Linked DNA regions of Pelodiscus sinensis. The protein of the gene in region 1 purifies or fractionates together with the protein of each later gene. This does not show direct contact. Links are inferred from orthologs where the notes say so. Each region holds a gene or a part of one and is shown in the gene's direction. Other genes may lie near its edges. The genes, in order: PPP2CB, PPFIA3, PPP4R1 and CCT7.

What was found.
Region 2: the proteins of PPP2CB (region 1) and PPFIA3 purify together in Homo sapiens (affinity purification with mass spectrometry; 3 studies listed by BioGRID and IntAct, with this or other methods). This does not show direct contact. The link is inferred for Pelodiscus sinensis from reciprocal best matches to the Homo sapiens genes PPP2CB and PPFIA3.
Region 3: the proteins of PPP2CB (region 1) and PPP4R1 purify together in Homo sapiens (affinity purification with mass spectrometry; 3 studies listed by BioGRID and IntAct, counting the BioPlex papers as one, with this or other methods). This does not show direct contact. The link is inferred for Pelodiscus sinensis from reciprocal best matches to the Homo sapiens genes PPP2CB and PPP4R1.
Region 4: the proteins of PPP2CB (region 1) and CCT7 purify together in Homo sapiens (affinity purification with mass spectrometry; 4 studies listed by BioGRID and IntAct, with this or other methods). This does not show direct contact. The link is inferred for Pelodiscus sinensis from reciprocal best matches to the Homo sapiens genes PPP2CB and CCT7.

What each region holds. Positions count from the first base shown.
Region 1 is NC_134715.1:4,850,030-4,856,911, reverse strand, and holds the start of PPP2CB (serine/threonine-protein phosphatase 2A catalytic subunit beta isoform), read left to right. Parts: upstream 1-3,881; 5' UTR 3,882-4,011; coding exon 4,012-4,113; intron 4,114-6,882.
Region 2 is NW_027465870.1:75,048-83,001, forward strand, and holds the start of PPFIA3 (liprin-alpha-3), read left to right. Parts: upstream 1-4,942; 5' UTR 4,943-5,081; intron 5,082-7,954. Other genes in the region: LIN7B (protein lin-7 homolog B), read left to right, coding at 201-449, 979-1,050, 1,416-1,625, 1,759-1,922, 2,289-2,310. UniProt on the Homo sapiens protein: May regulate the disassembly of focal adhesions. May localize receptor-like tyrosine phosphatases type 2A at specific sites on the plasma membrane, possibly regulating their interaction with the extracellular environment and their association with substrates.
Region 3 is NC_134712.1:85,386,003-85,393,368, reverse strand, and holds the start of PPP4R1 (serine/threonine-protein phosphatase 4 regulatory subunit 1), read left to right. Parts: upstream 1-4,353; 5' UTR 4,354-4,685; coding exon 4,686-4,692; intron 4,693-4,909; coding exon 4,910-4,954; intron 4,955-5,265; exon of another isoform or gene 5,266-5,280; coding exon of another isoform or gene 5,281-5,305; intron 5,306-5,468; exon of another isoform or gene 5,469-5,489; intron 5,490-5,497; exon of another isoform or gene 5,498-5,517; intron 5,518-7,366. UniProt on the Homo sapiens protein: Regulatory subunit of serine/threonine-protein phosphatase 4. May play a role in regulation of cell division in renal glomeruli. The PPP4C-PPP4R1 PP4 complex may play a role in dephosphorylation and regulation of HDAC3.
Region 4 is NC_134715.1:131,026,805-131,034,154, reverse strand, and holds the start of CCT7 (T-complex protein 1 subunit eta), read left to right. Parts: upstream 1-4,338; 5' UTR 4,339-4,470; coding exon 4,471-4,476; intron 4,477-7,056; coding exon 7,057-7,210; intron 7,211-7,350. Other genes in the region: PRADC1 (protease-associated domain-containing protein 1), read right to left, coding at 1,656-1,722. UniProt on the Homo sapiens protein: Component of the chaperonin-containing T-complex (TRiC), a molecular chaperone complex that assists the folding of actin, tubulin and other proteins upon ATP hydrolysis.

The sequences.
Region 1 (6,882 bases):
GATAAAAAAATGAGGAATAGTGGCCCCAAATCATCTCACCTTCATTCTTCTCTGCTCACAATAGTAGTAACTCCTGAAGAAACACTGGACTGGGGGGAGTGGTTCTGGCTCGAAGGCTTTCATCCACTAAAGACTGCAAAAAAAAAACGTGAGAAAAGCCTTTACTTTCAATTGATTTAGCTTCCTGTTAGGTATTAAATTTGCATTTTGCCTTTTATTTTCTTTGTTACCAATTCTGACTTTTGTGCCTCATTATTTGCAAACACTTAAATTTTTTCTGTAGCTAATAAACTTGATTTATGGAAATGATTGTGTTTGTATTAAAGTGTTTGGGAGTCCCATTTGGGATAACCACATTTGTGCATGATGACTTTCTATTGTTGAAATGATGTACTTTCTATGAACTTGCATTGCACAACAGGAAAGACTAAGATGCACATTTCTGGGGACTCGACTGGGAATTTGCTGGTGTTGCCCTATAATGGAATTCATGAACGAATAGCTGAAACACTCATAACATTCAGCTGGGAAAGATTTTGCATGCTAGAGGCTGTGTGAGAACAGAAACAAAAGTTTCCTTTTTCGACCCTCCACCCTCCAAGTAGATTTTTCAAAAAGCAAATGTTACAGCACCCCAGGCACAAGATCAGTGGCCAGCATCCCAGGAGGAGAATTCTGAGCCTATGAGTAGGGCCATGGAGCTTCAGGTGTACGGCCAGCAGCCAGGGCCCCATGTAAAACTTGGGGATGCTGCAGCACTCCCCACCTCTAGTTCTGTGTGTATGATAGCCAGGTGGGGACCTGGAAGTAGCTCGGGGCAGTGCTGAGGTGTGTGTGGAAATGGAATTACAGCCAGTCACAGGACTTGGAGTGATTCTGGGGTGGGACTGGGGTGTCTGGGAGTGGCTATAGGGGGCGTGAGTAGGACTCAGTGTGACACTGAAGTTGGAGTGTCTGGAAATGACTGGGATGGTGCAAGAGGCTCTGTGTGGTGCCATGGGATGCGTGTGTCTGGAAGTGATGTTGCTGGGCAGGAGGCATTACAAGTGGCACTGAGTTGGTGTGGGTAGGGTAACCCTGTGTCACCTATTAGCAAATGCCCAGTTTTGACAAAAAAAAGTGGAGTGCAACTGCTAGCGGGGTGCACAGGGAGGGAAGGCAAATGGCAATGCCAGCCCTGAGCTGGAGGGAGGCTCAGGCTGTGCCAGACCCACACATGGAAGACAGGGGAGGGGGGGATAACGTGTGTAGAGCAGTTGTGGGGAGCCTCAAGCTGCCCTGTGGGGTATCCCATTTTCCCTGTAGGGAAATAGGGTGATCCCTGGTACTCTGGAAGGGGTGAATGGGGCTCTAAGTGGTTCTGAATAGGAGGTCTGGGAGTTTCTCTAGGGCAGTGCAGGAGGGAGGTTGGACATGGCTCTGAGAAGTGTGAGGGGGGCTCGGAATGTAGGGTCTGAGCTAGGGATGTCAGCGGTTAAGCAGTAAGCATCATCTGCTTTTGCGGAAAAACTTGCCAGCTATCTACACTGGCCACTTGAATTTCCGCAAGAACACTGACAATCTCATGTAAGATCGTCAGTGTTCTTGCGGAAATACTGTGCAGCTCCCGTTCGGGCAAAAGCCCTCTTGCGCAAATCTTTTGCGCAAGAGGGCCAGTGTAAACAGCGCAGTACTGTTTTCCGCAAAAAAGCCCCGATCATGAAAATGGTGATCAGGGCTTTTTTGCGGAAAAGCACGTGGGCTGTGTCTACATTGGCACCCCTTTCCAGAAAAGGGATGGTAATGTAGACTTCAGAATTGCAAATTCCGCGGGGGATTTAAATATCCCGCTGGGGATTTAAATATCCCCCGCAGTATTTGCATTTACATGGCTGCCGCTTTTTTCCGACTTGGGGATAAGCCGGAGAAAAGCGCCAGTCTAGACCTGATTCTCCGGAAAATAAGCCCTTTTCCGGAGGATCTCTTATTCCTACTTTCAAGTATTTAAATCCCCCGCGGAATTTGCAATTCCGAAGTCTACATTAGCATCCCTTTTCCGGAAAGGGGTGCCAATGTAGACACAGCCGTCTAGATTGGCCACGGACGCTTTTCTGCAAAAAGTGCTTTTGCGGAAAAGCGTCCTGCCAATCTAGACGCGCTTTTCCAAAAATGCTTTTAACGGAAAACTTTTCCGTTAAAAGCATTTCCAGAAAATCATGCCAGTTGTAGACATAGCCAATATTTAATCGGTTAACTGATTAAATGGGATTTTACATCCTTAGTCTGAGCAATACTGGGGAGTCTGGACTTGCCTCTGCGAGGTGTGAGGGGCCTGAGAGACGCTGGGGGGCTGAGCGGGGCTGAAGGGTCTGAGCGGTGGGGACAGGGAGTGGCTCTGTGAGGTGCAAGGAGGGTCCGAGCGGTGCTGTGGGGAGTGTCTGGGCATGGGGCAATAGGGGATCTGGGTGTGGCTCTAGGGCTGAATCTAGACTGGCCGCTTTTTCCAGAAAAGCAGCCAAGTATTTTACTACATCCAAACAATGTGGGGGGGAGAGCCTCTGTGGCAGGGGGGAAGAGCAGGGCTGGGAGTTTTGGGCAGGCTGGTTGTGGGGAGTGGGGCAGGGGGGCTGGCAATGGGTGTGGGGGGTGAGCAGGGTGGGTCTCTGTGGCGGGAGGGTGAGCAGGGCGGGGGGGCTCTGGGCAGGCTGGTCGTGGGTGAGTGGGACAGGGGGGCTGGCAGTGGGTGTGGAGGGGAGAGGGGAGGGTCTGTTGGCGGGGGGGTGGCAGTGGGTGTGGGGGGGGTCTGTGTGGCAAGGGGGGGTGAGCAGGGCAGGGGAGTGGGTCTGTGTGTAGCGAGGGGATGAGCAGGGCGGGGGGTGGCAGTGGGTGTGAGGAGCGGGGGGGGGTCTGTGTGGCGGGGGGGTCTGGGCAGGCTGGTTGTGGGTGAGTGGGACGGGGGCTGGCAGTGGGTGTGGGGGAGAGAGGGGGGGTCTGTTGGCAGGGGGTGAGCAGGGCGGGGGGGTGGCAGTGGGTGTGGGGAGGAGCGGGGGGGTCTGTGTGGCGGGGGGTCTGTCTGTAGCGGGGGGGTGGTAGTGGGTGTGGGGGGGAGCGGGGTGGGTCTCTGGAGCGGGGGGTGGTAGTGGGTGTGGGGGGGAGCGGGGTGGGTCTGTGTGGCGGGAGGGTGGCAGTGGGTGTGGGGGGGTGGCAGTGGGTGTGGGGGGGGAGCGGGGTGGGTCTGTGTGGCGGGGGGGGTGGCAGTGGGTGTGGGGGGGAGCGGGGTGGGTCTGTGTGGCGGGGGGGTGGCAGTGGGTGCGGGGGGGAGCGGGGTGGGTCTCTGTGGCGGGGGGGTGGCAGTGGGTGCGGGGGGGTGGCAGTGGGTGCGGGGGGGGAGCGGGGTGGGTCTCTGTGGCGGGGGGTGGCAGTGGGTGCGGGGGGGGAGCGGGGTGGGTCTCTGTGGCGGGGGGTGGCAGGGTGTGGGGAGGGGTCTGTGTGAGGGGGAGGGGGGTGAGCGGGGGGGGGGTCTGACCGTGGCGCGCGGAGGCTGGGAGCAGGGTGGGTCTCTGTGGCAGGGTGTGGGGAGGGGTCTGTGTGACGGGGGGAGGGGTGAGCGGGGGGGGGTCTGACCGTGGCGCGCGGAGGCTGGGAGCAGGGTGGGTCTCTGTGGCGGGGGGTGGGGAGGGGTCTGTGTGACGGGGGGAGGGGTGAGCGGGGGGGGTCTGACCGTGGCGCGCGGAGGCTGGGAGCAGGGTGGGTCTCTGTGGCGGGGGGTGGGGAGGGGTCTGTGTGACGGGGGGAGGGGTGAGCGGGGGGGGTCTGACCGTGGCGCGCGGAGGCTGAGAGCGGGTGCGGGGGGGGGGGAGGAGGCGGAAGCGCTCCCGCGGGGCGGCGGCCGCGGCCGGAAGTGGCGGGGCGAGCGGGCGGGGCCGCCATCGCCATTCCGCGGCGCGGGGCAGGGCCGGGCCGGGAGCGGAGCGGGCCGCGCGCACCCAGCAGCCCCCGTTGGCCCGTGGCCGTTGGCGGCCCCCTCGCGCCATGGAGGAGAAGGGCTTCTCCAAGGAGCTGGACCAGTGGATCGAGCAGCTCAACGAGTGCAAGCAGCTGAGCGAGAGCCAGGTGCGCAGCCTCTGCGAGAAGGTGAGTCCGCGCCGGGCCTAGCGGGGCCTCACCCGCCCGCGCCAGGGGCCCCGTGCCCGCGCCGCCCCGCAGGACAGCGGGCCCAGCAGCGCGCGGGGCTGCTGCAGAGGAGATAGATCCGTGCTGGCTCCTTTCGCCGCCGGGCAGAGTGAAGGGCAGGGGAGGCCCTGACTTGCCTTCCCTGTACGCTGAGCGCTTGGGCGCTCCCCTGCCCCAGAGAGGCAAGAGCTGCCTGCCCCAGCTGACCAGCGGAGCCCCCACAGCCAGCAGTGTGTTTCTCGTGGTGGTGCACATCCGCACAGCACAAAAATGGTTTCTCACAGGGCTTGGGGGAAAAATAGAAGCAGGGGGAGAGCCCAGTCTCTGAATCCCAGCGTCCCTGTGTTTGTGTTTCATTGCATAGGAGGGCCAAGGCAGCAGTGTTACACGAAACCCGTTAGGCACCGACATCTGGGCAAGCAGGCGGCCCACGGAAAAGGAAAGCTAGTTGGGCTCAATAATTTACCCCATTCCAATCAGATGTCCAATCTCCCTTCTGTTATTGAGTTGTGATAGCCAGTAGTAGTATTGCATGTCAACTAGCTAAAGGATGGGTTGTGGTTTGGTTGGTTGAGTTACCTCTTGCATCACTGTAGCCCTGTTTAAGATTGATCTGGCATGTTGCCTGGATAAATAGCCTACATAATCATAGCAAATAGGTAACATTGTTAACAATTAGCTTAATTAAATTCAACTGCTTCTAAAATAGAACAGATTCATGCAGGATAGGGCCATCAGTGGCTGTTAGCCAAGCTGGGCAGAGATGGTGTCCCAAACTCATTTGACAGAAGATCGGCATAGGCAACAGGATTGATCACTTGATAATTGCCTATTCCGTTCATTCCCTCTGTGGCATTAGCCACTGTTAGAAGACAGAATACTGGGCTAGATGGAGGTTTAGTCTGACCCAGTATGGCTGTTTTTGTATTCTTTTAGCCTGTGAACACTTTACTTTTTTATACAGAGCATTTGCAGTCTCTTACTGCATTATTTTGATTACTCAAAGATTGACCAGTGGTAAATGTCTTAAAAGGACTCAGTTTTACTTAATTTGAATTTAAACTTAGAAATTTTCTGAAAATCCATTCTGTACACATAATGCTGTAAATTTGGAGATACTGCACTGTATTTTTCATACATAAAGACATCCCTGCAAAGAAAAATGTGATGTAAGGCTAAAGGAAGAATTTGTTATAAGTATTTTGTTATAAGTACATAATTTATAAAAAGATACTTAGCGTTTAGAAGCACTTCATGCTATTTCTGTATCTCCAGTTAATGGTGTTGATCTATTTCAGTCTTTTCCACCCAGTATGTAAAGTTTTGGCAGCTAAATTACAGTGAGCCTTGTCTTTAAATAATTTAAATTATGTTGTTTCTTAGTTTAGCCACAGTCAAATTTAAAATTATATAGACTATTAAATTACTTGTAGCCGATTAAAGCACATCAGACCCTCAGCAGGAATTGGAAACCAACCATGGCTGGTAACAGCTCATTTACACCCTTTCATCTTATATATATTATTGTGGTTGTTTTCTTATGTGCATTACTTTGCATTTATCAATACTGAATTTCATCTGCTATTTTATTGCCCAATAACCCAGTTCTGTGAGATCCCCTTACCCAAGGCAGTAAGTGGAAACTCAGTGGTATCTGTTCTGCCCCTTGCGCTCCTTGATTTCAGAAAGCAAATTAAAATTTTCCTCTAGTTCTTAACCCAGTTTCTTAGTAAGTTTAGATAAGTTAATATTTTAGCATATCTGCCCAGCTGTGGCATTCTTTTTTTTCCTTTTTAGGTCATTACTAACCAATCAGTGCCAAGGTACCTTTCACTCAAGAGATATCAAAAGCCTCAGGCTTCAAACCCTGCTAACGTGATGGTGTAGTGCCAGACAAATCTGATGTGTGTTCTGTCTGGGGGGAAATCCACTTCCCCAGTTGTTGTTCAGTGTATTGGTTCTCTTCAGATTGGACAGCTTTGGCTGCAGTCTCTGAGACGTGTTAGAACCTTGAGCTGGTGTCTGTAGCGTCGATATTAGCATAGGAATCAGCATTGATGTTGGTAGCAGAAGAGCATGTTCTAATCTAGTGACATCCAGGTTGGAGTCCCTTGATGCTGTAGCATTGTGTCAGTATTAGCCAGATAACCTGGCACTCTTTTTGATCCAATATACTTCTCTTCCTTCTCCTGCTTTCTCAGAGCCAAAGTTGTGTGGCGAACCCATACCCTCTCAACCTTCTCTAGACAAATTCAGTATTGTGTCTGTGGTGATGGGGATTGGATCCACATTGGGGATCCCCCACTAAAATAAAATAAAAGCTCTAAAAATAAATGAGTAACTCAGAAACACACAATCTCCTTTCCACCCCAACTCCTCTTCCTGGGTCTCCACACTTCCTTAGCTGTATGTTTCTGAAATATATTGATTGTACTGGAGAATGTGGATTCTCCCTTCCCAGCCTTCCAGAGACAACTCCCCTCATAGGTTTGTTTTCCAGTCAAGTCAAAACAGGCTAGAGGTCTTGAAATGCAGAAGATGGAGGAAAATGTTGAGGTTCCCCACGATGACTGCATTGATAATCCAGAACTGCAACTGGTCTACTTGCTCCTCGCCTTACCAGACGAACCAGATACTACAATCCAGTGTCCCTGTGCGATTACTTCAGAGCATTCATCTAAGACTTGCTAAGGAGAACAGCTAACATATTAAATATAGAACTGTCATTGG
Region 2 (7,954 bases), on another chromosome or scaffold:
CGCCGGGTGTGAGTCCGAGACTCTTCCCCCCCCCCTCGCCGGTGCAACGTGGGGCGGGGCCGGTGCGTGAAGATGGCAGCGCTGAGCAGCGAGCCGCTGGGGCTGGAGCGGGGTAAGGGGCCGCGGGCAGGTGCACGGGGCGGGGGGGGCAGGACCCGTGCGCCGGGGGGGAGGGCGCTAGGGCAGGCGGGGGCTCGGAGATGCCTGGGGCAGGTGCGGGGGGTGCTGGGGCAGCAGTGGCTGGGGGGGCTCAGGGAGACGCGGGGGGGCAGGCAGTTAGTTTTGGGGGGGGTCTCTGCCCCCCTGTGACGCCCCCCCCAAACCGTGCAGACGTGGCGCGTGCGGTGGAGCTGCTGGAGCGGTTGCAGCGAAGCGGGGAGCTGCCCCCCCACAAGCTGCAGACCCTGCAGCGAGTTCTGCAGAGCAAGTTCTGCTTGGCCATCCGCGAGGTGAGACCCCCCCATTGCCCTGTGCAGCCCCCCCATTGCCCTGTGCAGCCCCCCCCAAGTGCCCTGGCAGCCCCCCCATTCCCCTGTGCATCCCACCTGTGCATTGTGCATTCCCTGCACCTGCCTCAGCCCCCCTGCACCCCAACCCCATGCTGCGTCTCCCCCCCCCCCCCCCCCCCGGCACAGTCGCTGCAGCTGCCTGAACCCCTACTCTGTCCCCAGCACCGTGTCCCTGCAGAGGCTCCTGCCCGGCCCCCTCTCCCTTCACCTCCAGGGGGTTCCACCCCCACACGCGACCTGTACCCCGGGAATCCCCTCACCACACCCCATTTTGCACCCCCAGGGGCTTCGTCTCCTGCTTGGCCCCCTAGGGGAACCCCGTCTCCACACTGAGTCCACTGCAGCCCCCGTGCCCTGGCCCAGCCCCCCCCCCCATCTCCCTTCCCCTGGCATTCGATGGTCACTGTCCGGACTTCTGGGATCCCCAGCCCTCGCCCTGACAGCCCCTCCTCCTCGTCTCCACCACCAGGTTTATGAGCAGCTCTATGACACGCTGGAGATCGCGGGCAGCGCCGAGATCCGGGCCCATGCCACGGCCAAGGTACTTCTGCCCCCTGAGATCTGGGCCTAGGTGTGCCCTGGGGACCCTCTGCCCCCGATATCTGGCCCAAGGTATTGTCCTGGACACCCCAAGATGTGGGCCGAGGTAACCCCCTCCCCCCAGGAATCCTGCCTCCTGGGTTTTGGGACCCTGTGAAATCGGAACCTAAGTAACCCCCTGGGAATCCCGACTCCCTCCCCACCGGAGACCCTCTGGCTCCTGGGATCTGGGCCTAGGTCCTGCCCCCCAGGGATCCGAGCTGCCCCTGAGGCCTGGGCCTAACCTTAGGGACTGGGGCAGAGGTGCGGGGCGTAGGGTCCCTCCGCCTGCCCCCCCCCCCCAGCACCCTGGGTCTCTGCCCGCAGGCCACGGTGGCGGCGTTCGCGGCAAGCGAGGGCCACGCCCACCCCCGGGTGGTGGAGCTGCCCAAGACGGACGAGGGGCTCGGGTTCAACATCATGGGCGGCAAGGAACAGAACTCACCCATCTACATCTCCCGCGTCATCCCTGGCGGCGTGGCCGACCGGCACGGAGGCCTCAAGCGGGGCGACCAGCTGCTGTCTGTCAACGGCGTGGTGAGCGGGGGAGCTCGGGGGCGGCTGGACTGAGGGCGCAGGGAAACTGAGGCAGCGAGCGGGGGAGGGCATCCGCGGCGGGAGCGTCCGTCCCCTCTGACCCTGCCACGTGTCCGTCTGTCCGGCGGTGCAGAGCGTGGAGGGGGAGCAGCACGAGAAGGCGGTGGAGCTGCTGAAGGCGGCGCAGGGCACCGTGAAGCTGGTCGTGCGCTACACGCCCAAGGTGCTGGAGGAGATGGAGGCCCGCTTCGAGAAGATGCGCACGGCCCGCCGGCGCCAGCAGCACCATAGCTACTCGTAAGGGCCCCCCGAGCCCCCCCTCACCCCCTGCAGGGGCCAGCAGTACCCACAGCTACTCATAAGAGCCCCCCAAACCCTCCAAATCCCCCTACATCACCAGTGGCACCGCAGCTATTTGTGAGGGAAGCTTCCCCCCAAGCTCCCCAACCGCCCCGATTCCTCCTCACATCCTCCCCAACCCCCCCACTGGCGCCAGCAGCACCACAGCTACTCGTAAGAGCCCCCCCCCACATTCCCCGCCACTGGCGCCAGCACCCTGCTACACCTAAGGGCCTCCCAAATCTCCCGGTACCAGCACCCCAAAATCTCGCTGCTCCCCCCGGTTTCTGCTGCGACTCATGTCTCCCTCTGTTCTCTCCCCAGGTCTCTGGAGTCGCGGGGATAACCCCTGTCAGGTCCCGTGCTGGGGAGGCTGGGCCCCCGCCCGGCCTCCCACATCTCCCCCCAGTTTTTCTGTGGAGCTGGGTCTATTTATCGGGACCACACCGGCCCTGCCGTGAACCGTATTTATTTATTCCCCTATTTAAAACTGCCCCTTGTGCGTGAGCCGGTGGGAATCCGGCACCCGAGACTCTGGTGGTCGGGGGGGGGGGGAGGGCTCTGCTGAAGGCAGGGAAGGGGGGGGAATCCCGGAGAAATGCACTGCCCCCAAACCACCCACTGTACGGGATTCGCCTTCACTTCCTGTCCCAAATTCTTGTGTGTCTTTGCCCCTCGACCCATCCCAGTGCCAAGCGAGGGGTCCCCGTGTGCCCAGCCCAGAGGGGCCGTGTCCCGGTGCTGGGCGAGGGGTCCGCGTCTGCCCTGTCCCTGCACCCCACCCCAGAAGGGCCCTGATCCAGTATGTGTTTATGGTGCAGTTCAGTGAGTGGCCACCAGGTGGCGAACTCGCTGCTTGGGGGGGTGGGGGATCACTGGGGTATGTCCTGTGTAGGGTGTTAGTGCCCCTCTCTCCGGCCAGCAGCTCGGCCCCGGCCCCCCACCCCTGCCGGTGCCCCTAGCTCCTGCCTCCAGCTCTGCTGGTGCCCCTCACTCCTGCCAGAAGCCCCTGCCCCCCCCAAGCTCTGTCCCCCCAGCCCTGCTGGTGCCCCTCACTCCCAACCTGCAGCATCATTTCTGGTCCCTGACATCCCCCATAGCTCCCTTCTCCTGCCCCTTCCAGGGCAGGTGGGGCTGAGCTCCCTGCCTGCTCCCCAGGTGAGCTGGGGGTGGGAAATGGAGCTTGGGAATCAGGGATGCGCCCCTCCCTCAGTGAGTCACCCCCCTCAAGTCTGTTTTTCTGGTTTGGCTGCTGAGTCTGCCAGGGAACTACAAGGGTGAGATTCCCAGGGAGGGAGTCAGAGGGTGCGGCTGGGAGCCAGGACTCCTGGGTTCTCTCTTGGCTCTGGGAGGGGAGTGGAGGCTAGTGGTTAGAGCAGGGGGGGGTGCTGAGAGCCAGGACTCCTGGGTTCTCTCTTGGCTCTGGGAGGGGAGTGGAGGCTAGTGGTTAGAGCAGGGGGGGTGCTGAGAGCCAGGACTCCTGGGTTCTCTCTTGGCTCTGGGAGGGGAGTGGAGGCTAGTGGTTAGAGCAGGGGGGGGTGCTGGGAGCCAGGACTCCTGGGTTCTCTCTTGGCTCTGGGAGGGGAGTGGAGGCTAGTGGTTAGAGCAGGGGGGTGCTGGGAGCCAGGACTCCTGGGTTCTCTCTTGGCTCTGGGAGGGAAGGGGAGCCAACGGGTGCCTCCCGCTCTCAGTCCCTGCTGTCTGTCCCTCTTCCAGTCACAAACGTTCGTGCCCTTTGCTGCGGCTCCCGCCTCTGCTGGAAGAAGGGGGGGCTGCCTGACTGTGAATAAAACGATGCGACTGAGTCTGGGGTGTGCATGTCTGTGTCCTTTGTGCCTCGATCCCGGGGTGGCCGCAGTCCCTGCTCGCGGAGCATGACCCCCAGGGGGCAAAGGGGGACTCGCTGGGGCGAGTGGAGAGGTGATTTCACTTCTGGCTCTGGCTGTGGGGCAGCCGCTCCCGCTGTGTGGGGAAGGGATGTTTGCTCCAGGCTCTGTCCGTCTGCCTGCGGCAGGGCTAACGCCATCCTCGGCCCCAGTGTAGAATCAGGTAGCTAATGAGGTGGCCGTTTTTCCCAGACCAGGAGGTTGTTCCCTAGCTTGCTCCCCGGACCCTGGGGGAGCTGCCTCCGGTGGGCTGACAGCCCTGCCCTGGGCCACACAGGAGCCAACTCAGGGCTGGGGGGGTGAGGGCCACAGCCAGGTGGTCCTAGGCAGGGGGAGGTTTCTGGGGTTCATGGAGTTAGCAAGGAGAGGGCATGGAGCTGGGGGGCCCTCCCTCCCTGGTCCCCCACCGTGGGGCGGAGAGAAACCCAACCCCCCGGGGACCTGACCCTGCGGGGCCAGGCTGGTACCCACACAGCGGTGTTTCCAGGGATGCTGGCTCGGGGGCAGGAAGTGCAATGTGGGGCAAGCCCTCCCCCCCCCCCCCGGGTGGGTTGGACAGGCTGGTGCTACCTGCCTCCACCCTAGAACCATCCCCCAATCTTTGCACCCCCTAGGCAGCCTGCCCCAAGTTTGCTGGGACAATTCCCTGGGGGGGGGAGGTTTCCCAGAGCAGGGGACTGGAGCAATTCGGGGGGGGGATAATTCCCGGGGGGATGCATTTCCTGGAGGGGGGGCTGGGATAATTCCCGGGGGGATGCATTTCCTGGAGGGGGGGGCTGGGATAATTCCCGGGGGGGATGCATTTCCCCAGGGGGCGGGGTTGGGGCAATTCCCCGGCGTGTGATTTGCCCCTATGCCCCCCTCCCGCCCGCCGCACACCGGATGACATCATCCTAAAAGTGAGCCCCGCCTCCCGGACTCCCTCATTGGCTCCCCCGCCCGGCAGCCCCTCAGCCATTGGCCGCCGGACCCCGGCGCTCGGAGCCGCCCCCTCCCACCCCCGCGCCTGGGAGGGACTTTGCGGCCGCCCCGGGCTCTGGCGGCCGCCCATTGGCGAGGCGGCCCGTCCTTCAGGGTTCCCTTAAAGGGGCCGGCGCCGGAGAGGCGGGGCGGGGGGCGGCGCGGAGGGGCCGGGAGCCGCGTCCGGCCGGGCTCCGGCAGCGCGGGGCGGGGGAGGGGCGCGACCCCCGGGCGTCCGCCGGCTCCGCAGCATCGGCACCGGCCGCCGCAGGTACGTCCCTGCCCTCCCCCCCTCCATCCCTGCCCTGCATCTCCACCTCCTCCCCCAATGCACCCTCCCAGTCCTGCACCCCTCCCCCTCCATCCCCTGCCTGCATCTGCACCCCTCCCCAATGCACCCTCAGCCCTGCACCCCCCCCTCCATCCCCTGCCTGCATCTGCACCCCTCCCCAATGCACCCCCCAGCCCTGCACCCATCCCCAATGCACCCTCAGCCCTGCACCCCCCTCCATCCCCTGCCTGCATCTGCACCCCTCCCCAATGCACCCTCAGCCCTGCACCCCCCCATCCCCTGCCTGCATCTGCACCCCTCCCCAATGCACCCCCCAGCCCTGCACCCCTCCTCCTCCATCCCCTGCCTGCATCTGCACCCCTCCCCAATGCACCCTCAGCCCTGCACCCCCCCTCCATCCCCTGCCTGCATCTGCACCCCTCCCCCGCATGAACCCCCCCAAGCCCAGCCATCTCCCTCCACCGCCCCACTTCATCTCCTCCCATCCCCCCAGTCGGGCACCCCCCACGGTGCAAGTCAAGCCTCTCCCCCCTGTATACACCCCTCGATCTGCACCCCCGGCCCTTCTCCCCTCTCCCAGCCACGCACCCCCCCCTTGAACCACCCTGGCCATGCATCTCCACCGCTCCCCTCATCTCCCATGCCTGCCCCCCCCAGCCTGCAGATGCACCCCATCCCGCTGCGTCCTCCGGAGCTCAGCCCTGCGCCCCCCATGGCCTGTCCCCTCCCCCAGCGCACATCGGCCCCCATCCCCCGACGTGCACCTGCTTCCCCCCCCCCCCCATGCACCCCTCGGCTGCTGCCGGTAGGAGCCGGGACAGCTCCCTGCCCCCCTCCCCCACTGGCCTCCGCAGCATCAGACTCGCGGCGCTGCAGGTAGGAGCCGGGCCGTCCCCCGCCCCCGCCCCCAGCCCCTGCCCGGCCCCTGCCCTCCCCCCTTGCCCGGCCCCCCCCCACTTTCCCCAGCCCCGCTCCCTAGCGCCCTGCCCCCCAACGCAGCCATCCTCCTGTGTGCACCCCCCTCCCGCTGCCTTCTCTGACCCCCTCCAGCCTCTGTCTGCCCCCCATACTGCCCCCGGGGGCCCTGTGTCTCCCTCCATGGATGGGGGGCTGGCTCTCTGGGGGACCCTCTGTCCCATTGCAGGAGAAATCTACAGGGAGGGGGCAAGGCAGCTGGACCTTGTGGGGGGGGGGGGGGACGATCCCAGCTGATTCTGCGGGGGGGGGGATGCTTCAAGGGGGCTGGACAGCTCCTCCACCCTTCCCCCAACTGCATTGTGTTCCTTGGGGGTGGGGTGGGGAGAGGCCCCCCCCCACTTGGATTCTTCACTCCTCTGGGTCAGAGCTGCCCCCCTCCACGGATCCACCCTCAGGGAGGGCCTCAGCTCCGCAGGAGTATGTGGGGGGGGTGACCCCAAAGTTTGTGGGGGCACAAACCTCCTGATCCCTTCCCAGCGGATGCCAAACAGGGCTGCAAGGTCCAGCCTGGGGGGGGGGGGCATGGAGACACGCATGTAACGCTGCCCATGCAGCCCCCTTCGGCCCTGCCATGCACGGATGTCGCCGGTGCCCCCTTGCCCTGGCTGCCCCATGTGAGCCAGGCAGGCGTGGGACAGGCATGTAACCGTACACGCGTGTGCCGGGGCACCCTCCACTGGGGCTGGGAGTGTGGCTGAACCCCTGGGGGCATCCGGCTCTGTGTCCCCAGGTGGGGGCCATGGGGGAAGGGAGAGTAGGGGGTCAGCGTGTTGGGGCGTGTGTTGGCGTGTGTCTGTGCACAGGTACCATCTGAGTGTGTCTGGGCATGGGGGTGAGGGGCACCAGTCTCGTCGCTGTCTATAAATAACCCAGACGAGGGAGGTGTCTGCAGGCACAGGCCCTGCGAAGAGGAGGGGGCTGTGTGTGTGTGTGTGTGTGTGTGTGTGTGTGTGTGTGTGTGTGTGTTGGGGTATTGCTCTTTGCCTGGGTGTTGCAGGGTCTTTGCACCTTGTACTTGTTGCATTGTGGGTAGGTGTTGCGTTGTCGGCAGCATTGTGTTGTGTGTAGCACTGGGCGTGTTGCATTATGGGTGGGTGTTGCAACGGGTATTGCTAGTGCAGTGTGCTGTAAACTGTAGCGTGTGTGTGTTGTGTTATTGTATTGCAGGTGTGGGTTGTTGCATCATGGCTGTGTGTAGCATTGTGTTGGTAGTGTATGTTGCTGTGCATATGTGTGTGGTGTTGTCTCACTGTTGCATTATGGGTAGATGGCATGCTGTGGCATACATTTTGTGTATTGCATTGTATTAGTAGCACGTATTGCTGTGTGTGTTGCATTCTCACACTAGTGCTTTATGTGCAGGTGTTGCATTGTCTGTAGCATGTTGCATTATGTGTATGTTGTGGCACGTGTGTCGCACGGTTGCACTGGGATGGTGTGTTGTGTGTGTCGCAGAGTTGCACTGAGGCGCTGTGGTGTGTTGTGTTTGTTGTGTGTGTTGCGGGGTTGCACTGTGGGTGGCTGTTACATTGTCCCTGTAGAATGTGGTGTTTATGTTGTAACGTGTGTTGCCCGGTTGCACTGGGGCGCTGTGGTGCGTTGTGTGTGTGGCGGGGTTGTACTGGGATGGTGTGTTGTATGTGTGGCGGGGTTGCACTGGGGCGCTGTGTTGTGTTGTGTGTGTGGCGGGGTTGCACTGGGATGGTGTGTTGTGTTGTGTGTGTGGCGGGGTTGTACTGGGGCGCTGTGTTGTGTTGTGTGTGTTGCGGGGTTGTACTGGGGCACTGTGTTGCGTTGTGTGTGTTGCGGGGTTGCACTGGGATGGTGTGTTGTGTGTGTGGCGGGGTTGCACTGGGGCGCTGTGTTGCGTTGTG
Region 3 (7,366 bases), on another chromosome or scaffold:
CTGTATAATATAAAGCAAGGAGTATCACTACACATAGAAAATGGTGGTCCCATCTCACTATGAGCAGTTAGAGACAGAATTTTAATTCTCCTCTCCCTCCCCTCCCAGGGATCAATCCTGCATTGGCATTGCATGGGTAGACTGCTGTGCCCATGTGAAGCCCTGGTTATATTTTTTATCCCTGTAAATTCCCAACACTGAAAACCTCTCTTGTACATTTAACACAGTCTTCAGCAACATTAAAATAAACCTTTCAGCTAAAAATCTCCATGTAGGTTATCAATATAGGGGTATAGGAATTGCCATACCAAAATAGACCGATGATCTATTAAATTTAGCATCCCATTGGGGCTCAAAATAGGTGCAATAGTCCACCTATACTTTAAATAAATAATAATAATAATACACCAGGACCTCCTTGTGCTAGATGCTGTACAACTAAATGATTGTCTCTGCCCCAAAGACATTGCAATATAAGCTAAGAGACAATAGATGGAGACAAACAGATGGGGGAGTACAAGAAACAACGAAACAGTATTTGTCAGAATGATAGAAAGAACTCTCAGCACGCTAGTTGTCTAACTCTTCACATTTTGAAGAAGGATAATAAGGTAGCTTTGTAATCATTTTCGGTGAAGGACACCATGAGAAAAAGCACCAAAATGCTTGTCTGAAAATTTAACAAATGGTTACATTTAACTCGTCAATCAGAGGTTGGAGTCGACATCTCAACAGTGAAAGAGAGATGTCTTGCAAATTTACCGAGTAGTCCTTTCATGTGGAAGCCATTTGGGCCCCAAGTTTTCCCTATGCCTAATGCTTTATAGCTGCCACAATATTGAATAGATTGATTCCATATCCCAGCAAAACATATCTTGATTTGGGAAAACACTGAAGTTGATGTTAATTAAATATTATTTGATTTGTTAATTTTTGTAGTTATGAATAGATCGATAGAGTACTTTACAGTATTCACCTAATCTCTTATTATTGTTCTGGGATTTTATGTATTTAATCCATATTATAATTGCAGGTACCATATATGTATTTTCATCATGTGTGAAATATACTAGAAGTCTTCCATTTGAGTCTTTCCATTCAGAGCCTTTGTTTTAGGGTTTTATAGATTTCCTGAGATTTAGTTTCTCAGAGACCATGAGTAGTGGGTAAATCCCTCAGCCCCACTCCTTTTGCACAAGGCCCACCCCCAGTGTGGCCACTGCTTGCCTAAGTCTAGTACCCCACCTTCAGTTGGGCCACTGACCCCCAGCCGAGGATAATGAGGCCCCAGAGCTCCAGAGGCAGTGCCTAATGGACTCCTACAGAAAGGCCCCCTACCTCCGGTCAAGCCACCAGTCCCAGTGCTTGAAGGACAGGTGGTGTGGTACAGCCCCCAGCATGCCTTCCCTAGCCTCTGCCACCTCAAGAGCAGGCTGGGGAAGGGAGCCTGGGAAAGTACAGTGGAACAAGGGCAATGCCAGGTGAGGCAATTTGGGAAGGCTGCACCTTCCCCTGCCCATGATACTTGCTGCCCAAGTTAGAGACCAGACTCAAATTTAGCTATTTCTAAGAGCTTGCATTTTCTGGTGTTTGCAAGTAAAGACAGATCAATATGACTATATCTACACAGCAGCGTTATTTTGGAATAAGCTATTCCAAAATAACAAAGTCTGTATCTCCACTACAAGCAGTTATTTTGATAGAATGTCGAAATAATGTTGAGCTGGAGGACTTCTTACTCTGACTCCTGTAACCCTTATTGTACAAGGAGTAACAGAAGTCCGAGAAATAGTGCTCTACCTCGGATTTCCTGCTGTGAAGACAGCGCCAAAAGCTGAAATAAGATATTTCAACTTAAGATATGCAACTGAGAGGGGGATCAGGGCTATGGCTGGGGCAGAGGGCTGGGGATCAGGAGTGAAGGCTCCAGGCAGAACTTACCTCAAACAGCTCCTGGAAGCAGTGACATGTCCCTCCTCCAGCTCCTATGTGGAAGGTGCTGCCAAGTGGCTCTGCAGTGTTTGCTGACCTGTCCATAAGTGCCACTCCTACAGCTCCCATTGGCCATGGTTCCTGGCCAATGGGAGCTGCGAGGGCGGTGGTTGGGGCAGAGACAGCATGCAGAGTCCTTTGGCTGCCCTGAGGCATAAGAGCTGGAGATGGGACATGCCAGCTGCTCTCCAGGAGCTGCACGGTGCAGAAGCCAGTAGGGATCCTGCCAACCCTGCTGCACAGTGCCACCAACCATACAGTCAATGGCCTGGTTAGTGGTGCTCTCACTGATTCATGAGATGTTCCTTGACTGCTTACTTTGCATAAGAGCCTTGGTGTGGGATCTTGTCAAAGGTCCCTTGTTTGGACAACTGGTCTAAAAATAATGTGGAGGAGGGCAGGTAGCTTGCAGCTGGGAGGGGAAAGCTCCAGCCCCCCCCCCCCCCTTACTTGGTCAACTGTAGTGTTTAACACTACAGTTAACCGGTTAATCAATTAAATGGGATTTTACATCCTAGTGGACTGAACCATACTTTATACTCAATGGTTACAGACTAATGAAGAATTATTGCTTTTGTTTAACTTTAAAATGTATTTTTTCATGAAAAACTAACAATAGCAATAAATAGCACTCCTATGGAGTGTTTCACAAGATTTTTAAATTGGAGGTTTCTCTTCTGCAATGACAAGATATCTATTTCCTAGTGAAGACATTGGGATGCCTTAACTATGATCCCAAGTGTAAGAGCATTGATGATCTCAAAGTGTACCAAATACTATAGATCATTGATTAAAGAATGAATGAATGATTCGGCAAAACCTCTCTTTGCTGCACTGACACACTTCTGGAAGATGCTTCTTTGTGGAATGACATCACAGAGCCCAATTCTGGCATTTTTGTGTCAGCCTCTAGGGCATCCTTTGGTATTCTAAAAACTAATGGTGCAACCTCTGCTTAGAGCATTCACTTTTGATTTCCTCATTTCAAACAACACTTGGCAGGCACAAGTAGGCTGTGTCTAGACTGGCCAGTTTTTCTGGAAAATACACCGCTTTTCCGGAAAAACTTGCCAGCTGTTTAGACTGGCCGCTTGAATTTCCGCAAAAGCACTGACTTCCTACTGTAAGAAATCAGTGCTTCTTGCGGAAATACTATGCTGCTCCCGTTCAGGCAAAAGTCCCTTTTGCGCAAAACTTTTGCGCAAAAGGGCCAGTGTAGACAGTTCAGATTTGTTTTCCGCAAAAAAGCCCTGATGGCTAAAATGGCGATCGGGGCTTTTTTGCGCAAAAGCGCATCTAGATTGGCACGGACGCTTTTCTGCAAAAATTGCTTTTGCGGAAAAACATCCATGCCAATGTAGATGCTCTGTTCCGAAAATGCTTTTAATAGAAAACTTTTCCGTTAAAAGCATTTCCGGAAAATCATGCCAATCTAGACGCAGCCGTAGTGTAGATGAAGGTGCATTCTGTTTACCCATAGCTCATTTGGGGAATATGGAGCTTAGTTTAGATTATCCTTTTTTTACCATTATGACATTGGCAGACACAGTGAAGGTCCAGAAAAATGTTTAGATTGATAGGGAGGGGGCTTCTGTATAAGCAGAGAGTGCCAAGTAAGACAGGAGTGGTGCCAGTGCCACTGGGCAGTGGTATCAAAGCCAAACAACAGAGAAATAAAACCAGTGCCAAATGTACATGGAAGGTGAAAGAGGCAGTAACAATGCCAAGCAAGTGGAAAAGACGTCAATGCCAAGTATGTGGAGAGGGAGTGACACTGCAGTGCCAATTTAGGGGAAATTCATGTCAGAGCCAAATAATACAGTGCCAAGTGTGCTTTGGTGGGGGTTGAGGGGGGAGTGCAGTGATAAAGCCGGATTCATGCAGGATTCAGGAGAGGGGGCACTGCACCAGGGCCTAATGTCTGGGGCTGGAGCAGAGGACACAGAGCACACGGGGTTGTGGGAAAGAGGTGCAGCTGCAAGCCAAGGGTAAAGGTTGAAGAAAGTAGGTGAAGAGCCAGGCTGCAGCAGGGGGGTTGGGAGAAGGAAATGCCAGGGCCCAGCATGTGGGGCTGAGAGGGCAGTACCAAGGGCCCAGTTTTCAGGGTGTGAGGAAGTGCAGGGTGCATGTGGGGAGGGGAAGGAGGTAAAGTGCCAGGGCCCAGTGCATGGGGTTAGGATGTGCCAAGGCCCAGCAGGCACGGAGGGGGAAAGACAGTGCCAGGGCCCAGTGTGCAGGGTGAGAGAGAAGAAACGTCAGGGTGCAGCGTGCGTGTCTGTGGGGGGAAGTGTGCAGGAGAAAGGGGCACACAGCCAGGCCGAGCATGCAGGGGGAAGAGGGGAGGCACGGGGCGCAGTGCCCGGCCCAGGCGGGGAAGGAGCGCGGAGCCAGGCCAAGCGGGCAGGGACGGGGACCGCGCCCCGGCTGCCCCCTGTAGGGCCGGGCGGGCCCCGGCCGCTGCCCTGGAGGCGGCTCCGCGAAGTGAGTCAGCGCCAGCGAGCGAGGGGCGGGGAGGGCCGCTCTCGTGCGACTCCCCGGCGGAGGCGGGAGCGGCGTGTCCGGCTCAGACCCCTCCCTCGCTCGCCGCCTGCCTGCCAGTCTCTCTCGGGGACACCGGAGACGCCGCCAGCGGGCCCGCACCGCACGGGGCTTCCCCTCAACACTTGGGGGGGGGGGGGGGCGGCGTCGGCAAGATGGCGGGTAGGTACCAACCGCCTTCCCGCGCCCCCCTCCCCCAGCTGTGCATGGGCCGGGGCAGCGCCCCCTGTTCCGCCCGCGCCCTGCTGCGGGCGCGGCCCCCGTGCGTGTGGGGAGGGGGGGGCGGCTGTGGGGCGACGCGCGGGCCCCCGCCCCTGCGCGGGGAAGGGGCCGGGGGCGCGGCGAGGCTGCGGGCGCGGCTCATTGTGTCTCTCCCTAGATCTGTCGCTGCTGCAGGAGGACCTGTCGGAGGAGCTCGACGCGTGTGAGTAGCGCTGCCGCCGCCGCCGCCGGTCCCCCCACTGGGGCTGGGCTGAGGGGTGGCGAGCCCAGGGGCGGTGCCATCACCCTGGCCGCAGCCGGAAGCTCCGGGCGTGTCGGGGCCTTGTCCGAAGCCGGGGTGCAGCAGAGGGGAAGGAGGCGGGTGTCTGCCTCGGTGGGCAGGGGCGGGTGGCATCGCGCCCGCGGGCGGGCCGGCTGGGGTTGGCGGGGCTTTTTTTTTTTGCGGGGTGGTGTCTTCTTGGGCTCGATCCCGTGAGGAAATTGGCGAAAGCCCACGTTGCATTGTGGGAGGAGGCGGAGGCGGCGGCCATGCTCAGCTGCTCCTTCCCCACACGTGTGTGTGTGTGTGTGTGTGTGGGGGGGGGGCTCGGCAAACTTTTCCTGTGCCCACGTCTGCGTGGAGGCGGCGAAAAGGGGGAACGGGGACAAGCGGGAGCTGGGCTGATGACTTGTGGGGAGAGACAGTTGCTGCTGCTGCTGCCTGAGCTTTCTTGGCCTGTTGCGCTTTAAACTCAAAGGCGCGTTATCTTAGGACAATATTTGCAGGCAGGTTGTGTGTTGCACTTGTTTTAAGGCCGCGTGGTTGTTTGTCATGCTATGTCTGCAGCTGCTGGTTGGATATGCCACAAATTGGATGGCTAAATTTTTAAGCTTCTTAGGCTTTTGTGTTCAATGCATAAAGTTTTAGGGTACTTTTATGTGATGGTCGGTAGCTGTGGGAATAGAATTTTTCAGGACTGATGCTGTGTAGAAACTGAAGCTCTTTAAAGGGCCTAGGAGATACACAAAGGGCAGTGTTACTTTCTTGTGGTGGTGACATTGCACCAGAGACATGGAAAATGAGCTGACTTGCATGTATTTCTTTCTTAAATCTTTTTCCTCCATGGTAGTGTTGGTAAAGATAATAGTATCTGAGAGAGAATTAATCTTGTGTTATAGTTCTATAAAAGAAGCCTCAGTGTGCAATTTAGCATTAATAATGGATTGTATGCTCCTTTTTGTTTAAAACAACAATAAATGCAGTGACTTGAAGGCTATGAGAACAGCTGTGACTTTTGCACATGTGAGTTATGGAATGTAAAACGTAACCAACAGTAAAATAGTATGTACATGACTATTAGAAAACTCTCTGGTTAAAGTGTAGAGCTGGGAGTATTAAAACCAAGCTAACTCCAAGGTGGGGATAAAAGAATCCTTCAGATTTAGGCTTTAATCCTGTAACCTTTGTTGGCAAACCCATGGCCCTTTGCAGAGACCCATGGACTTAGAGTCCATACTGTCACAGGAGTCTGCCCACAAGAATCAGCTTTCAGGATTGGGTTCCTAGATGGTTGGAAATAAGCTTTTAAGAAATGGAAATGTTAGTAGAAATTTTTCTGTTTTTTTTTTCATCTTTCATGTAGAATTGCAGTTTTACAATCGCTGTAGAGTATTTGTGTAACAACATTTAAGCATTTTGTTCTGGTTTCTTTTCTTTCATTTTAAACTACTTTTCAAGAGAGAGTCTCTCTTGTAATGCTTAACAATTATTACAAACTATTAAGTTTAAAATACTAGATTTCGGATAGTATAAAAGGAATATCAATCAATGTGGGATATTCTTGTGAATAGTTAATAAATGTTTTAAGCTATTTTCTTTTCCCTTTAAAAAAAATGCAACCTTCTTGATTGCAAAGGACAAAGATTAAATAAGACATTGTAGGTCTCTTAAGAGGTAGCTAGAGAAGAATATTTATATACTTAACTACGCCACACATTTTAAATCTTTTCTCTGATACTTTCAAAGATAGATAAAAAATTATAGATTTGACTTTAAAAAGAAGACTCAAAGATCAGACAAGAGCTGTCTTAGAATTCTGAAGGAAGATTCAGACAATTAATAAAAATATTCAAGATCTTACTGAGCAAGAGGGAGGTTCTGATGTAGAGATCAATGGATCAGTGTTAGAGAATAACCAAGAAACTGGATGAAACTAGGGACATAAGTGACTAGTCAACTGCCCTATAAGGGTATGCTTATTGGGTAGTTGAGTAGTGACTTGCCTAGTGGCTCCCCCAACCCCTTGCTGCCTATATCAGAGAAAGGCAGCCGAGAGGGAGAGCAGGAGCTGGCTTAAAAAATGGTTCTCCCCCTCCCCGGTACCGTCTCTGCAAGGGGGCAGGGGTCGTAGAGGCAGGGTGGGGGACTGGTAGCAGGGGGTGGGGAGGGAAGGGGAGCTGGAAATCAGCTGGCGGCTCTTAGTACATTTAAAAGGCAGAGCTGCAGTGAGGTTAGTTTTTGGGACTGGGAGCTAATCCTGCTGTGGCTCAGCAGTTTCCCCCCTTATTGATTAATTGAGTAGTTGATGTAAATTCCATCAACTATTCGATTAGCTGATTAAATGCAATTTAACAT
Region 4 (7,350 bases), about 130 Mb from region 1:
TGGCCCAGTTTTAGGCACCTGGGGAGTAATTTACCGAGGTGCTTGAGGCCCCAGACCAAGTCAGTGGAGCTGCTGGTGCCTGGACTCTGGAGGTGTGTCAGGCTGGGTTCCCAAAATCTCTAGTCACTTTCCAAACACATTGCCCCTTACCCAATCCTTGCCTCAGTTTCCCCTCCAGTAGCACACGGGGCTGCCACTTGACCATGGCACAAGGGAGTCAGGAGGCACAGTTAATGCGGGTGAAGCACAGCAGACACTCTAGCAGGCCAATTCACTCTCTAAATTACTACAGGCACCACTTGACGCCTGTCAGTGGGGGGCGGGGTGTCTAGTGGGCAAAGCAGGGCAGTCGGGGGATGTGGGTTCTATTCCTGGGGCCACCACTGACTGGCTGAGCGTCCTTGGGCAAGTCACTTTCATCGCTCCATGCCTCAGTTTCCCAATCTGTACAGTCTGGGGCCTGTTTACTTACCTGCCTCTCATGGGCTCCCTGACACTGAAGTCCGGGATCCTTAGCGAGGCAGTTAATAATTACTACACTAAGCAGAGGAAGCGGGAAGGGAGAGTAGTAGGATAAATGACAAGGAAGGGCCTAATCCGGAGAGGTGCTGAGAACCCACAGGAGATGCTGGTGTCCAGCGCTGCTCCAGATGGAGCCCAAACCCTCTGCCCTGCTGAGAGCATTTTGACGTCTCGTAGCAGCACTTCCGCTAACCTCAGTGAACCGAGCAACCCCCCAGCCACAGCCAGAACATTAATTTGGGCAAGCAGCTAGGACCCATCACGAGACTCCTCCAGAGTGTGACATAAAACCAGGCTGCCTGCTTGGCCAGCCCTTTGGAACGCGCCTCCGAACTGAACACAGGTCATTTACCAAACCCAGCGGAGCAATCTCCCCTCTGGGATTTTCTCCTTTGCTTTCTCCATCTTTTAACCTGCCTCAGCTCCTCTTATTTACCTGCTGGCTGCCCCTGAATCCAGCTTTCCCTCCATCTTCCTTTCCTAATCGCTGTGCGAGTTTCAGGGCTGATTTACCGTGTTCTAATGGGCAACCACAGCGATCAAAATTGTCTCTCAAGCCGAGTGGCAATGCAAGATTCTCCCTTGCTGGGCCCCCTCCATGGAGGGATCTTATGCCAGGGCAAGAGGATGTTGCATTATATTTTGCTTTGGCTCGCTCACAGCTTTCAGAGCGCCGGCACAAGGCATTTATTAAGACTGGATCCTGTGCAGCGAGATTTTCCTGCTACATGGCCCCAGCCGGACTGCCACCCCTTCACGACTGAAAATGGGAACTTACAGACACACTAAAAACCAGACAGGTCTGGCAGGGCTTCCCGGCAGCCAACAGAGCAGAGCATGATGAGAATACAAAGAATAAACAGCAAGCACAAATTCCCCCCCAGCCGAGAAGCGCTCAAGGTTTTTTAACCCCTCCCCTGCATTTCAGGGCAGCAGTTTCTGAGCACAAGGGCCAGCGGCTGCCGCAGCAGGGCACTTGACTTTGGAAGAGGCAGCTGGATGTGCATTGTAAAGGCTTGCTTGTCAGTCCTGTGTTGCAAGCGTGCGCCAAGCAGAATGGAAAAGGCGCCCACACAATGCAGGCACCGGGGTACTCTCTAGCCTCTCCTTCTCCCCGGGTGGCCCGTACTCACCATCAGCAAAAGGGCAGGCGCAGAGACAGAGCACAAAATGCAGCCAGCTGCCAGCGCTGAAGAGCATGTCTGTGCACCAGCCTCTCCGTGGCTCCCCAAGGCACCTCTAGCCACAGAAGTCTCAAAGTGGCCACAAAGCAAAGCCCCGCCTCTGGCTTCCACTCACTGGTCAGCTCCAGCGGCTGCCAATCCCATTGGTGAAGGTTTCAATCAATCCAGTGCCGGCTGGTTACAAGAGGCTTGAAACACCGAGGGGTTCCTAGTAGAGAGGAAGAAAAAAATAAATAAAATAAAATAAATCCGAGCCGGTTCAGCCCTTCAGCAGATTTTTCAGAAGTAAAATCACTGGAAGCAAATCCGTCCTTTTCCACCCACTCGTACTCCACGGAAAGGGCAGGGACACACGACTGGGGGGCAGGAGGTGGGGTTTTATTCTGGGCTCTGCTATAGATGTGTGACCTTGGCCAAGTCATTGCACAGTGTGCCTCAGTTTCCCCCTCTATACATCTGCCCAAGAGGGGACCCTGAGCTTCACCCATTAATGTTTACTGATGGGGAGGAGGGGTTTTGCTTCAAAGGGGTAGCCTTGCTCCCAACATTCAAAAAGCTGCGCAGGCATCTGCAGGACTAGGGCCTACCTGTAGATGCAGTGAGTGAAAGCAACAAACAAGGAGGAGGGAAGGGAGGGCAAAGGTTACAGGAATAAGCGCCTGGATGCTGGTTTTGGTTTTTACAATGGTTGCTTTTAATGTGGGGGTTGCTATGGCTTCTTTTGCTGTTGCTCAAGCCTGCTCTACTCCCCCTCAGCCCTGCCTACCACTGGCATTTCTGCACAGTATCTCACTAGCTTCACAGCTACAGCAGCCGCCCCAGCCCCTCCTCACGGCCTCAATCCCCCTCCCCCAATTAGTTTTGCTGTATGGACATTTTGTTGCGCATCTTTAAACCCTGCCAATCTCATCCTAGACAGCACCGGTGCTGCTATACGGGTGTGAGCCCCTCCTGATTACACGCTACACTGATATACTGCGGGCATGCCACTGACATGGCTTGATGCTGTGCAAGTGTCTCTAATGCAAGGGGGACGAGGCACTTCGTCCCGGACTTTCCCCCCCATCAGACCCTCTGCCCCGTTTCCCTGCCTCCCACTGTGCTCCAAGTGCCTGGGGATAGCGTTGCCAGATGGGTCCAACAAAAATACCGGACGCACTTGACATTCCATCCCAATCGACATTCCATCCGATTTAGAAAATACCGGACGGTTCTATTTTCTCCATTGGTTTCCAGAACAGAAAGCTCCAAAACTGGACTGTCGGGTGCAAAACTGGACACCTGGCAATACTAGCTGGTGAACCCAACTATCTGCTCCTCATCCAACCTCCCCTTCATGAGCCCCCATCAGTACCCAGCTGCCTGCCAGACTGTGAGCCCCACCTGCCCTCCCCCACCTGGCAGCGAGCCCCCACCTGCACGCCCTACCTGCCAGATAGTGAGCCCCCACCTGCGCTCCCCCACCTGCCAGATAGTGAGCCCCCACCTGCGCTCCCCCACCTGCCAGATAGTGAGCCCCCACCTGCCAGACTGTGAGCCCCCACCTGCGCTCCCCCACCTGCCAGAGAGTGAGCCCCCACCTGCGCTCCCCCACCTGCCAGAGAGTGAGCCCCCACCTGCGCTCCCCCACCTGCCAGATAGTGAGCCCCCACCTACCCTCCCCCACCTGCCAGAGAGTGAGCCCCCACCTACACGCCCCACCTGCCAGACTGTGAGCCCCCACCTGCCTTCCCCCACCTGGCAGTGAGCCCCCACCTGCGCTCCCCCACCTGGCAGTGAGCCCCCACCTGCGCTCCCCCACCTGCCAGATAGTGAGCCCCACCTGCACTCCCCCCACCTGCCAGATAGTGAGCCCCACCTGAGCTCCCCCACCTGCCAGATAGTGAGCCCCCACCTGCGCTCCCCCACCTGCCAGAGAGTGAGCCCCACCTGAGCTCCCCCACCTGCCAGATAGTGAGCCCCCACCTGCGCTCCCCCACCTGCCAGAGAGTGAGCCCCACCTGAGCTCCCCCACCTGCCAGATAGTGAGCCCCACCTGAGCTCCCCCACCTGCCAGATAGTGAGCCCCCACCTGCGCTCCCCCACCTGCCAGAGAGTGAGCCCCCACCTACCCTCCCCCACCTGCCAGAAAGTGAGCCCCCACCTGCACACCCCCACCTGCCAGATAGTGAGCCCCCACCTGCGCTCCCCCACCTGCCAGATAGTGAGCCCCCACCTGCACACCCCCCACCTGGCAGTGAACCCCCACCTGCGCTCCCCCACCTGGCAGATAGTGAGCCCCACCTGCGCTCCCCCACCTGCCAGATAGTGAGCCCCCACCTGCGCTCCCCCACCTGCCAGATAGTGAGCCCCCACCTGCACACCCCCACCTGGCAGTGAGCCCCACCTGAGCTCCCCCACCTGCCAGATAGTGAGCCCCCACCTGCACTCCCCCCACCTGCCAGAGAGTGAGTCCCACCTGAGCTCCCCCACCTGCCAGACAGTGAGCCCTATACTGTCTGCTTGCCAAATAATGAGCCAAGTCAGTACTCCTCTTGCCAGATATTGAGCTGACCCCACCCCTCCGCACCTCTATGGTCAGAGGCGGGAAGGAAGGGACGCCGGCGGGCTCCCAACCATCGAGTGGGCGCGGGGAGAAGCCGCTCGCTTCCGTTTCCCGTTGGAACTCCGCCCCCGCCCCTCGCGAAGTTTCTGCGCGGACGCAGTGCATTGTGGGAGCGGCCACCCCCTGTGCTGGAGGCGCTCCACCGGACCTTCCGCCAAGATGATGGTGAGTGGGGCCGGCGCGGCCCGCGCCATCCGCCGCCATCCGCCCCGGGGACGGGCCCTCCCGGCCCGACAGCGGCTCCCCGCCCCCAGCGGGCTCTAGCCGGCCGGCATCAGCCGTTATTTTTGGGGGGGGCGGGCTGGAGCCGGAGCCGCGGCCCCCAGCGCAGCCCGGCGGCAGGAAGGGCGCGGGGCGCTGCGGCCTGCCCCGAGGGCAGCCCATTGAGCGGGGTGGGAGGCCTGGGGAGCTCGGGCCGGCCTGGCTAGCGGTGGGACATCAGTGGCCTCGCAGGGACTACCAGCCCCATCAAGTAACGCGCGAAAACTTGCCCCTGAGTTGGGGTTCCAGGTGGCGCATTGCATGCTGGGGGTTGTAGTCCCTGTAGGACAGAGCAGCGGGGGGAGTGAAGGAAGCCTCTTCTGCTGACTATAGTAACCGTTAACCTGCCCTTAGGGCTCCCCAAACCATTGCGTGCTGGGATCGGACGCCCTGCCTCTCCCCGAAACAGCCGCAGGGGCCCAGCATTGCCCACGGAGGCTGCTGTGGTCAGGACGTAGCATTGCATGTTGGGGGCCACCGTCCCTGTGGTCTCCACGGTTCTGTTTGGGTGATGCTAATGGCTCGTTTTGATTCTGGCACCTGCTGTCCCCAAATTGTTCAGAGGAAAGGGGCAGCGTTGCCTGATGCAGTGTTGCCAGACTTGTCATCTCGGTGGTGGGCACGTCCCCGGGCTAAGCTAAAGGCAGGCCTCAGAATGTGCAGGGATGCTTACAAAAGGATGCTTATGTTGCAGAGAACGTGGTTTTCTTCAAAGGCAGGATAATTTGGATTTTCTATATAAACTTCCATTTAGGCTTGTTCTGACAGAGGTAAAAGAGCCTTGTTTCTGTTTCACAACATGTCCTTGAAGTCTGAGGGCCTGTATTTAACTTTCATGCCCCACCCTTGGCCCTCTTGCCCAATGAGTCTCCAAAGGCAATGTCGGAATTGTTTGAATCCTAGCGATCTTGCCGTAAAACTGTTTATTGCCAATGGGTCAACCTCCCACTTCACTGTCAGTGTAAAAAGATCATGCTTGCATTCGGTGAAGTGCTAAGTGTTGGCCTAGCTTCCCCTTCAAGCAATGCCATCTTGCTCTGATTTTTTCAAAGACAGTGAGAGGTGAAAATGGGTTTCTGCACAAATAAAGGTTCACTGGCATGGGATCATCCTAGAACATTGTGAGGAGGCATTGGCTGGCTGTTACCATGGCCTTTTAGAATCCCTAAGTCATTCTCTTACAAGCATAAGAATGACCATGCAGGATCACACCAGTGGTCCATCTAGTCCAGTATCTTTTCCCTGGCAGTGTCCAGTGCAGATGCCTCAGGGAGAATGAATGAAACAGGGCAATTTTGAGTAATCCCAACCCATGTCCATTCCAAGTTTTCTGGTGGGTTGGAGGCTTGGGGACACCTCGAGCAGCGGCTCTCAACTAGGAGTACGCGTATTCTTGGGGTAGGGATATTAATGCACCCCTGTGCGTTTTTGTTATTTCCTAATTTTCATGTTTACCACAGACCTTGTTATCTGCATTTTGGGTACCACCCTCAGTGGGTACAGCTGTGCTGCTGGCAGCAGCATTGTAAGGGTAGACAGGTCTCGGTTGTTCATACCGTAGTGTCATGTAAAGCTGTTAAGAGATTTTTCATGACACAGTGGTAGAAATGCCTTTGATCTGTCCACTCTGTCAACTTAGCATTTGGCAGCAGCATTTTTAATAGCTGTTGGAGTAGTATGGATACTATATATCTAGTACAGAGACAGTCCAGTGTGGAAGTTGGAAGGTAGAGGTTGGACTTCCCTTGTCCGGCACCCTAATTTGCCAGACCAGGGGAGGTCCCCTACCACTGGCTCCCCAGCCTGCTGCTCCTCAGTGTTCCTAGTTCTGCTACCAGGCCCCCTGCCTCCAGCCCCCCCATCTGCTACTATGCTGCCCTGCACTGCCAGGGGCTTTGGCCTTGCATTGCCTCAGGCTGCCAAGGAATCCCAGCCTGGCGCTATCCTGGGCTGCAGCGGGCTACCAGGCTGGCCTCTTCCCAGCGCTGCTGCGGGCTGCCCCCAATTAAGGCTCAGCTCAGTAATGTAAAAGTTAAAATAATGAAAACAAACACAGGTTTTTGAGTGTATAACTGCGAGCGTTAGAAACTCAAGATACTCAAGGTGAAGATTAAAATGAAAAGAAAATCTTCAAAGAGCTGGATCTTTTGATGCCTAAGACCTTATTTCACAAAGTCTAGTTGTGAGAATAAAGTTTGTAGGCTCCGGCCCCTGCAGCGTAAGATCTTCTGGGTTGAAGTTTTTTGTAAGTCATTAGGCTTTAATAGACTTTGGCTTCAGCGTCAGATATGGAATAGCAAACAGTGACACTCTAATAAGGTGAACTGATTTCCTTCATTGTTCCCCTCAGGAAAAATGACATTGAATAATACTAATAAGCTGAGCTAAGGAGGTTAAAATATTGGTACACAGTTATTTTTAGGGTGACTATTTGGCTTATTAAAGTCTGAGGGAAGCATTAGCTAGCATCTCTTGTCTTTTCAGCCCACACCAGTTATCTTGTTGAAGGAAGGCACGGATTCCTCCCAAGGGATCCCTCAGCTTGTAAGTAACATCAATGCCTGCCAGATTATCGCAGAAGCTGTTCGCACCACCCTGGGCCCTCGGGGCATGGACAAACTTATTGTTGATGACAGAGGTAAGTATAAGATAACATGACTTCCCAGAGCTGCCTTTTAGCGCTTCAGTGTTACCAAGCACAAGGCAGTGGCTTTTGGCTGACTTATCAACCTCCCTGCATAATGCATAGTATAGGTGTGGGATACAAGGTTCCACGAG